2 linked regions of the Callithrix jacchus genome follow. The protein of the gene in region 1 purifies or fractionates together with the protein of each later gene. This does not show direct contact. Links are inferred from orthologs where the notes say so. Each region holds a gene or a part of one and is shown in the gene's direction. Other genes may lie near its edges.

Region 1 (4,549 bases):
CCTCCTGGGTTCAAGAGATTCTCCTGTGTCAGCCTCCTGAGTACCTGGGACTACAGAAGCATGCCACCATGCCAGGCTAACTTTTGTGTTTTTAATAGAGTCAGGTTTTCACCATATTGGCTGGGATGGTCTCAATCTTTTTACCTAATGATCCACCTGCCTTGGCCTCCCAAAGTTCTTGGATTACAGGCGTGAGCCACTGTGCCTGGCCAGAATTTGGTTTTTAATTAGATTGATTCACAGAGAACCAAACCTAAGGAATCACATCATTCATTCATTTGTTCATTTAATAAATTTGTAGGTTGAAGCATTTTACCAAGTGATGGCAATAGAAAGAAGGCCCAGGTGTGGTTTGTCAGTTTCGTGGGGACTACACAGATGAGTAAATAACTGTAATGCAGTGACAGGATCTCAACGGCCAGGAGACCCCTGCTTCTCCTCTCTTCCTGTGCCTTCTCATGTAGTTAGCTACCTTTTCTTTTCTTTTCTTTTTTCTTTTTAATGCAGATTCTGGACCCATTGCAGACTTACTAGAGGAAATTCTCTAAAGGTGAGGCAGTTTTTAAAAGACCGGATCTCTCTCTGTCTCCCATGCTGGAGTGGCCCGATCATGGCTCACTGCAGCCTCCATTTCTTGGGCTCAAGCGATCTCTGACCTTAGCCTCACTGAGTAACTGGGACTATAGACATGTGCCACCATGCCTAGCAAATTAATTAATTTTTTTATTTTGGTAGAGACGGGGGTCTTGCTGTGTTGCCCGGGCTGTTCTCAAACTCCTGGCCTGAAGTGATCCTCCTGCCTCAGCCTCCTAATGTGTTTGAATTACAGGCGAGAGCCACTGAGTCCGTCCTAGCTCCCCTTTCTGAGTTGTGCCCACTACACAAAGGTGTCAGGAACATGATATGTCTCTGCATTTCCGGCCTGGACCCCACGTTAAGCGCTCTGTTAACGTCAGTGTCTTATCAACAACACTGTGTTTTGGCTGGAAGAAACTTCTTTAAAACCAGGAAATCAGGAATCAGCATTTTTAAGTTCACCAGGTTAAATAACATTGTGTTCATATGCAAAACAAAGTTTGTGAATCAGCACCAATGCTAGCAAGCTCTGGAAGGTTTGTGATCATGAACTTTCACGAGGCCCCAAGGCAAAGAGAGACAGAAGCCCAGGACACCAGCATGGGCGGCGCTTTCCAACCAGGCGCCGCCTGGACTACATTTCCCACGATGCCCAACTGCCGGGCTCCTGCGGGATTGGCTAGAACAACGAGGAAGTGATTACGGGTCGCCCAGCAACGGGCGGAGTCCTGAAACTAGCTGCGCACGCCCCTTCCCTGCGGCTGGGAGGTTGACGAGGCTCCGTTCCATATCGGAGCACTCTCCGGCTTTACTGTCCAGCCCGGCGGCAGCGCGACCTCTTAGGCGCTTTCACCGCCTTGCTCTCCAGGCCCAGCCCCTTTGACGCCTGCAGCCGGGATACTGCGGAAACTGGAGTTTAGCTTCGTGGTCGGCGGAGTGGTCCCCGGAGGGCGCAGTGCGCAGGCGTGAGTGGTGGAGACCCGACGCGCGTGGCGCTCGTTTGGAGTCGGAGTGAGTTCCTGGGCTACCGGACTCAGCAGCGAGCGAGCGAGCGAGCGGGTCAGGTGCCTCCTCCGTCTGCCATGGCAGCGCTGCGCTACGCGGGACTGGATGACACGGACAGTGAGGACGAGCTGCCCCCGGGTTGGGAGGAGAGAACCACCAAGGACGGCTGGGTTTACTACGCCAAGTAAGGGGGCTGCAGTGGGGCCGGGGACGCACCTGGGACCCTGCACTGGCCTCGGACACCACCTGCGCGGGGAGGGCGCGCGCTCCAGCGCAGCGAGTGCGGTGCAGAGTGGAAATGACTGTTAAGCTGCTTAGGGGAAAGGGTCCAGGGTCTTTATGGGCCTCGGGTCCAGTGGGGGTCACCTGGTGGCATCCCGGCGCGCCCTCTGCTGTTCAGGAGGCAGCCCTGCGCGGAGCGGCGAGGGCAAAGTGGCCTCATCACCGCCAAAAAATAAAGACGTTTAAAGTGCACGTACTCAGCTTTCTCCTTCAGGCTCTGGGTTGCATGACTAGGAGTTTTGTTTTGTTTTCTCCAGACAAGTATCGCTGTGTCACCCAGGCTGGAGTGCAGTGGTGCCATCACGGCCCACTGCAGCATCGGTTCAGGCAATCCTCTCATCTCAGCCTCCTGAGTGGCTGGGACTACAGGCGTGCGCTACCCCCATGCCCAGCTAATTTTTAAACTTTTTTTGTAGAGACTAGGGTCGCACCTTCTTGCCCAGGCTGGTCTCGAACTCTTGGGCTCAAGCAGTTCGCCTGCCTCAGCCTCCAGAATTGAGATTACAGGTGTGTTTTTTAGCAGAAGTCCTACATAGTTTCACTACCGTTTCCTGGGAAAGTTTTGGGAACCCCAGAGAGCCTTTGTCTTTAACTGTGTGACCTTCGGCCATTGAAAGGACGTTGAATCTTAATTTTCTCACCTGTAAAATGGGTTGATATGAGGGTCAGTTCAGGCACTGTGCATAAAGCACATAGCACCGTGTCTAGTAGGCACTCTGTCCCTTAACTGTCCTGGTTGCTCTTCAGCTATGACAGTGCCTCTTGACAGCAGCACCTTAGAATCACAAGGGGAGTGTCCTAAGTACACGTTTTGGGTCTCCATAGAACCTATAGTAGCCGACTCTCAACTTTGGGAGAATGTCTGTTAAGCTTTTCAGGTAAGGTGGAATATCACTTGGTTTTCAGAAACATGGGTGTAAATCTGATTTTCAGCACCTGGGCCCCGCTCCCAGAGGGGTTTTTCTTTTTTGAGGCAGAGTCTTGCTCGGTCTCCCAGACTGGAGTGCAGTGGTGCGATCTTGGCTCACTGCAACCTCTGCATGCTGAGTTCGAGTGATCCTTGTGGCTCAGCCTCCCAAGTAGCTAGGATGACAGGCAGCTGCCACCGCGCCTGGTTAATTTTTGTGTTTTTAGTAGAGACGGGGTTTCACCATGTGGGCCAGGCTGGTCTCAAACCCCTGGTCTCAAGTGATCTGCCCACCTCGGCTTCCCAAAGTGTTGGGATTACAGGCGTGACCCACTGCGCCGGCCCAGAATTTCTGATTTAATTGGTTTGTGCCCTCCCCTCTCCCTTGGTAGGTTGTAAAACTCTTCCCTTCCAGGACATTCTAATCTGTGCAAGAATGTGAACCGCTACTACCTTTGGTGGCAAGGCAGAAGAAAAACAGTAAAGCTCTGATGAGTTCACTCACGACACACAAGGGTGTTATGTGCCGGGCCTTTTGCTGGCACTGGTTATACCAAGGCAAGTAAGAGCCAGTTGTCATCCTTGGCACCCAATCTTATAGGGCACACTGACATGTAGGGGGGATCCCCACACAGTGTGTGTCCCAGGAAGCAATGTGTCTGGCATGAGGTGTGTGTGGGTAGTTGGTGGGAACGTTAGGAAGTATAGTGACATGGTCACAGTAACCTTGACTTCCTGGGCTCAAGCGATCCTCTTCCCTCAGCCTCTCGAGTCTCCAGGACCACAGGTGTATGCCACCACGCCCAGCTAATTATTACCTGTTTTGTAGAGATGGGGTCTCACTATGTTGCCGAGGCTGGTTTGAACTTGTGGACTGAAGCCTTCCTCCCAAAGCTGTGAAATCATAGGCATGAGGCTTGGCTCCAAGCCCAGAGCAGTGTTTTGAGTACAGGTAGAAGTTGGGGGGGGACAGGAGGGCAGTCCAGGCAGAGGGAACAGTGAGAGGAGAGACCCCCAGCATGGCCTGTACAGGGACCTGTGATTTTGTTTGTTTGTTTGTTTTATTTTTTGAGATAGAGTCTAGCTCTGTCACCAGACTGGCGTGATCTCGACTCACTACAACCTCCGCTTTTAAGCGATTCTCCTGCCTCAGCCTCCCAAGTAGCTGGAACTACAGGCACGTACCACCATGCCCAGCTACTTTTTGTTTCTTAGTAGAGATGGTTTCACCATGTTGGCCAGAATGGTCTCCATCTCTTGACCTCATGATCTCCCCACCTTGCCTTCCCAAAGTGCTGGGATTACAGGTGTGAGCTGCCGCCCCCAGCTGGACTTGTGATCTTTGTGAGGTCCAGGAATGTGAAGGTTGAGGCAGGGAAGGAAGGACCCAGTTACCGGAGTTCTCTGCCTTGCTGAGAAGCTTGGCCTTTGTTGACAGAGCCAGAGTGGCATTAGGCTTGTGACTGCAGGGAGGATTTCTGGCTCTGGAGAATGACAGGGACATTTCCAGCAGCAGCAGAGAACCATTAACCGCCGCAGGGGTCAAGGCCGGCTCCTGAGCGGGCACTTGCTGTCCCTCTCACCTGTCCATCTGTGGGGGAAGGGCTCCTTTTCATCTTTCAGAGATAAGCTTACGTGTCACTGTGCAAGAGATCTTCCTGACTGTGGCTGTCCCCTCTACCTTCTACCTGTCACCTGATTTCTCTGCTGCTTTGCGCTTAGCCTTGGCTCGTCCTCCTCGTTGTTGGCTCTGTTTCCCTCACCCAGACTGCAAACTCC
Region 2 (4,239 bases), on another chromosome or scaffold:
TATTGCCAGAAATGCAAGGAACTGAGGCCAGAGGCCCGGCGGTTAGGGGGGCCTCCCAAATCTGGAGAGCCCTGACGGCGCCAACTCTAAGCTGGAACTTCCAAATGACAACTCGATTTGGGAACTGAGCCTCAGGGACCTCAGCCTATCCCCTGGAGCTTGGATACTGTCCGAACTTCAAGGCAGGAATTCCCAAAGGAGACTTGTTTGAAAATGAATGTCTCACTTTCCTACCCTCTCCTTCCTCCCCACTCTGTGGATTTGAAATTGGACCCAGTTGGGGGTGGGAGGCTGTCTGTGTCTCTAGACACTATCTCTTGTCTCTTGGACCTGCCACCATCATTTTCTGGGTCGGGATGGAATGGGACAGTTGTCTATAAAACTCTAGTGTAAATATTAGCACTTCCCTCCCTCATCTTTTCTTTATTTCACTCCCCATTTATTTTCTTCTACACCGGTTGTATTTTTAATTTTGGACTTCCCCTCTTGGGCATGGCAGCTCAAAGGTGGAGTACTAGAGCCTGGCCAAGTGACGAAGGAAAGCAGAAAGGTGACGATTCTCATTCACCTCTTTTGTTTTTAATAATATTGGCCGCTGTTTGTACAGACAGCCTGCGTGTTGTAAATAAAGCAGAGTGGGCTCTTCTGTGTTTATAGCCCTCACTGACTGTCCTGCTTGGGAGGGAGGCTTTGGAAGAGCTGGCTGAAGACTAGCCGGAGGTGGGGCTGAAAACCACCTCTCAAAGTCCAATCTGAACATGGCACGGCACTGGGCCTTTCCCACCCCAAGATACTCGAGTAAGCCACCTTAGAGCTTTCATTGTATTTGTCCCTCCCTACTATAGTCTAGGAACCCCCACAATCCCCATCTTCACTCCCTGCAACGCACACTCCGGCGGGTCAGAGTTGCTTCGCGTTCCCGCCTGGGTCGGGTAAAGCACGGTGGAAGCCGATTATCTGCTTCCTGAGGGCAGAGGCCAGCTTAGCCACGGTACACGCAGGACCTCGCCCAGGGTACCCATTTGGGGGCTGGGAGACCGTTGCTGAAGGCAGCGATCACGTGGCGGGGACGCTAGGAGGAGTCCGGCGGTCACGTGACTGATGGGGGGGTCACGTGAGGGGGCGGCTGAGCAACGCAGAGTGGGCTGGCTTGGGTCACGTGACATGAGGAGAGGTGGGCGGGAACCTGGAGGTGCTCGCAACGTCGGCGGCGATGGCGCCGGGCTACCGCTGAGACCGTGGCTTTGAGTCGCACCCAGCGGCCCGCCCCCCGCCGCCACCCTCGCCGACCCCCGCTTTCTTTCCTTTGCTTTTCTCCTGTACTAGGTCGGTCCTGTCCGCGCTCGTGCGTCCGTTTGTGTGTGTGCGCAGGCGCGGCAGGGGCCATTTGCCCGGTTGGGTGGGCGGCAGAGCCCGGGAGCGCGCGGGCGAGACCATGGCGGGCAGCAGCACTGGGGGCGGTGGGGTTGGGGAGACGAAGGTGATTTACCACCTGGATGAAGAAGAGACTCCCTACCTGGTGAAGATCCCTGTCCCTGCCGAGCGCATCACCCTCGGCGATTTCAAGAGCGTTCTGCAGCGGCCCGCGGGCGCCAAGTACTTTTTCAAGTCTATGGATCAGGATTTTGGGTGAGCGCAAGGCCTGCATAGGACCGACGGGGGCTTTGCTAGAGTGGATTGGGCGACGTGGAGAGGTACACATCTACTTTGGGCCACACTGGGAATTTCTGGCCTATGGTGGAGCAGATTGTACTATGCTGAGGTGGGTTGACTATGCCAGGATGGACAAGGTTATGCTTGGATAGATCGAGGCACACGGACAGACTAGGATATCCTAAACCAGATTAGAGAAGATTACGTTCTACTGGAATAGGTGGGGACATACTGGTTTATTTTGGAGTATTCTAGACTGTACTGAGTAAATTGATCCATTGTCTGGTCGTTTAATACGTTCTCAGGAGTCCTGCATGTTGTCCACAGGTTATTTAGTGCTATTGTGGAATCTTTTGATGTAGATAAGGCCATTTTGGATCAACTTGGGACATTCTGGCGTATACTTAGAGCAGACGGGATTTTTGGTGGGATATTCTAGTCAATACTGATGCAAAGAGTGCTCTATTGGGATGTTCTAGGTTGCCCTGGAATAGAATATTGCGGAGAAACTTATCCATGGTTGGGCGCGGTGGCTCACGCCTGTAATCCCAGCACTTTGGGAGGCCAGGGCGGGCGGAACGCGAGGTCAAGAGATCGAGAGCATCCTGGCTAACACGGTGAAACTCCCTCTCTGCTAAAAATACAAAAAATTAGTCCGATGTGGTGGCACACGCCTGTAGTCCAAGCAACTCGGGAGGCCGAGACAGGAGAATCACTTGAACCCAGGAGGCAGAGGTTGCAGTGAGCCAAGATCGTGCCACTACACTCCAGCCTGGGCGACAGAGGGAGACTCTGTCTCAAAAAAAAGAAAGAAAGAAAAAAAAAGAAGCTTGGGTTATTATGGACTCTACTGAGTTGTATTGATTAATCCTGGTTTCTCTTGGGGCAAGACGTGGTTTTATCGGAGCACTCTGTATAAGGGCAGACAAGGCTGTCGGGGCCCATGCTAGTACAGGCAGCTGTATTGGGGTATTCTAGTCTATATTGGTGCAGACAGCTGCTTGTGGGGACATTGTAGGCTGTGCTAGAATAGATTGGGCTCCTAACGTAATTTGGGACATTCAGGGATATCTTGGACTAGATGGGCTTGTAAATAATGCAGAGAAAGCCCTTTTGTGTTTATAATCTTAGGGACTGAGCCCCCTGGTCCTCACCCTCTGCTTTTTTGAAGGCAGGCTGGATTAAGTTGGGTTAGTGTGGGTTTTAAAAGGTTCTTCTGGTTGTCCGCAATATACCCTTGGACAATTTATTTAAATTTTGTCTTGATCTCATCTGTGACATGGAGAAAAAACACAGAATGAAATGCTTAGATCAGGTGTGTGGCAAACGGTAAATTCTTGGTGAATGGTAATCGTCATTATTAGTACTGAGGCTGACTATAAAGTAGGTTATGGTGATACGGAATAACTTGTCTTAGAGTGGACTGAGCTATGCTGAGATTATGTTATATTGGGAAGAATCCTGCATTATGCTGAAACAGATTGGTAGTGACTGGGCTGTGTTGGCACATTGACAGCAAGTGGATTAAGTTGGCATATATCCTGGCTCCCATAACCATATTAGGCCAAAGGGTTAATCAGACAAGGTGTCTTAATTTGGGGGCAAGGGTGTGTGTGGAAAGAGAGGAACAACTAGGGCAGAGTCTGATGATTTATATGTTGATTCATTTAGCCAACGGTATTTGTTAATGCTGAAGTGACACTTTGTGCTGTGTGGCTAGGACATGGTGTTGACCAGAATGAGTGTTCATGATGTGATGTTGTGGTCAAGAAGAAGCATTAAGTCTAGTCCACTGGGTGAACCTATTGGAGAGATGACCGCAAGGCTGGGCCTTGGGATCTGTCAGGCTGAGCAGATTGCTTCGTGCAGAATTTTGTGACAGATGAGGCACTGGGGAATGGGAAGCTTAGCTTGCCCTCTCCTTGGGAACTTTCAATCTAATCAGGAGCTTCCATTGCTTGATCTAATGGGTTTTTTTGTGATGGAGTTTCGCTCCGTCTCGCAGGCTTGAGTGCAGTAGAGTGATCTCAGCTCACTGCAACCCCTGCCTCCCAGCTTCCAGCAATTCTTCTGCCTCAGCCTCTCAAGTATCTGTGATTACAGGTGTGCGTCAGCATACCCAGCTAATTTTTGTATTTATATATATATATTTTTTTGAGATGGAGTTTTGCTGTTGTTACCCAGACTGGAGTGCAATGGCACGATCTCGGCTCACCGCAACCTCCGCCCTCTGGGTTGAAGCAATTCTCCTGCCTCAGCCTCCCGAGTAGCTGGGACTGCAGGCACGTACCACCATGCCCAGTTAATTTTTGTATTTTTAGTAGAGATGGGATTTCAGCTTGTTGACCAGGATGGTCTCAATCTCTTGACCTCGTGATTCACCTGCCTCGGCCTCCCAAAGTGCTGGGATTATAGGCATGAGCCACCGAACCCGGCCTTCTTTTTTTTTTAAAGATGGGGTTTCACCATGTTGGCCAGGCTGGTCTCGAACTCCTGCCCTCAAGTGATCCTGCCTTGGCCTCCCAGAGTGCTGGGATTACAGGCAAGCCACTGTGCCCTGCATTTTTGTATTTTTAGTGGAGAAAG

The links.
Region 2: the proteins of WWOX (region 1) and DVL2 purify together in Homo sapiens (affinity purification with mass spectrometry; 4 studies listed by BioGRID and IntAct, counting the BioPlex papers as one, with this or other methods). This does not show direct contact. The link is inferred for Callithrix jacchus from reciprocal best matches to the Homo sapiens genes WWOX and DVL2.

What each region holds. Positions count from the first base shown.
Region 1 is NC_133521.1:35,599,505-35,604,053, forward strand, and holds the start of WWOX (WW domain-containing oxidoreductase), read left to right. Parts: upstream 1-1,530; 5' UTR 1,531-1,658; coding exon 1,659-1,765; intron 1,766-4,549. UniProt on the Homo sapiens protein: Putative oxidoreductase. Acts as a tumor suppressor and plays a role in apoptosis. Required for normal bone development. May function synergistically with p53/TP53 to control genotoxic stress-induced cell death.
Region 2 is NC_133506.1:73,724,397-73,728,635, reverse strand, and holds the start of DVL2 (segment polarity protein dishevelled homolog DVL-2), read left to right. Parts: upstream 1-1,171; 5' UTR 1,172-1,435; coding exon 1,436-1,629; intron 1,630-1,661; exon of another isoform or gene 1,662-1,754; coding exon of another isoform or gene 1,755-1,762; intron 1,763-4,239. Other genes in the region: PHF23 (PHD finger protein 23), read left to right, coding at 1-75.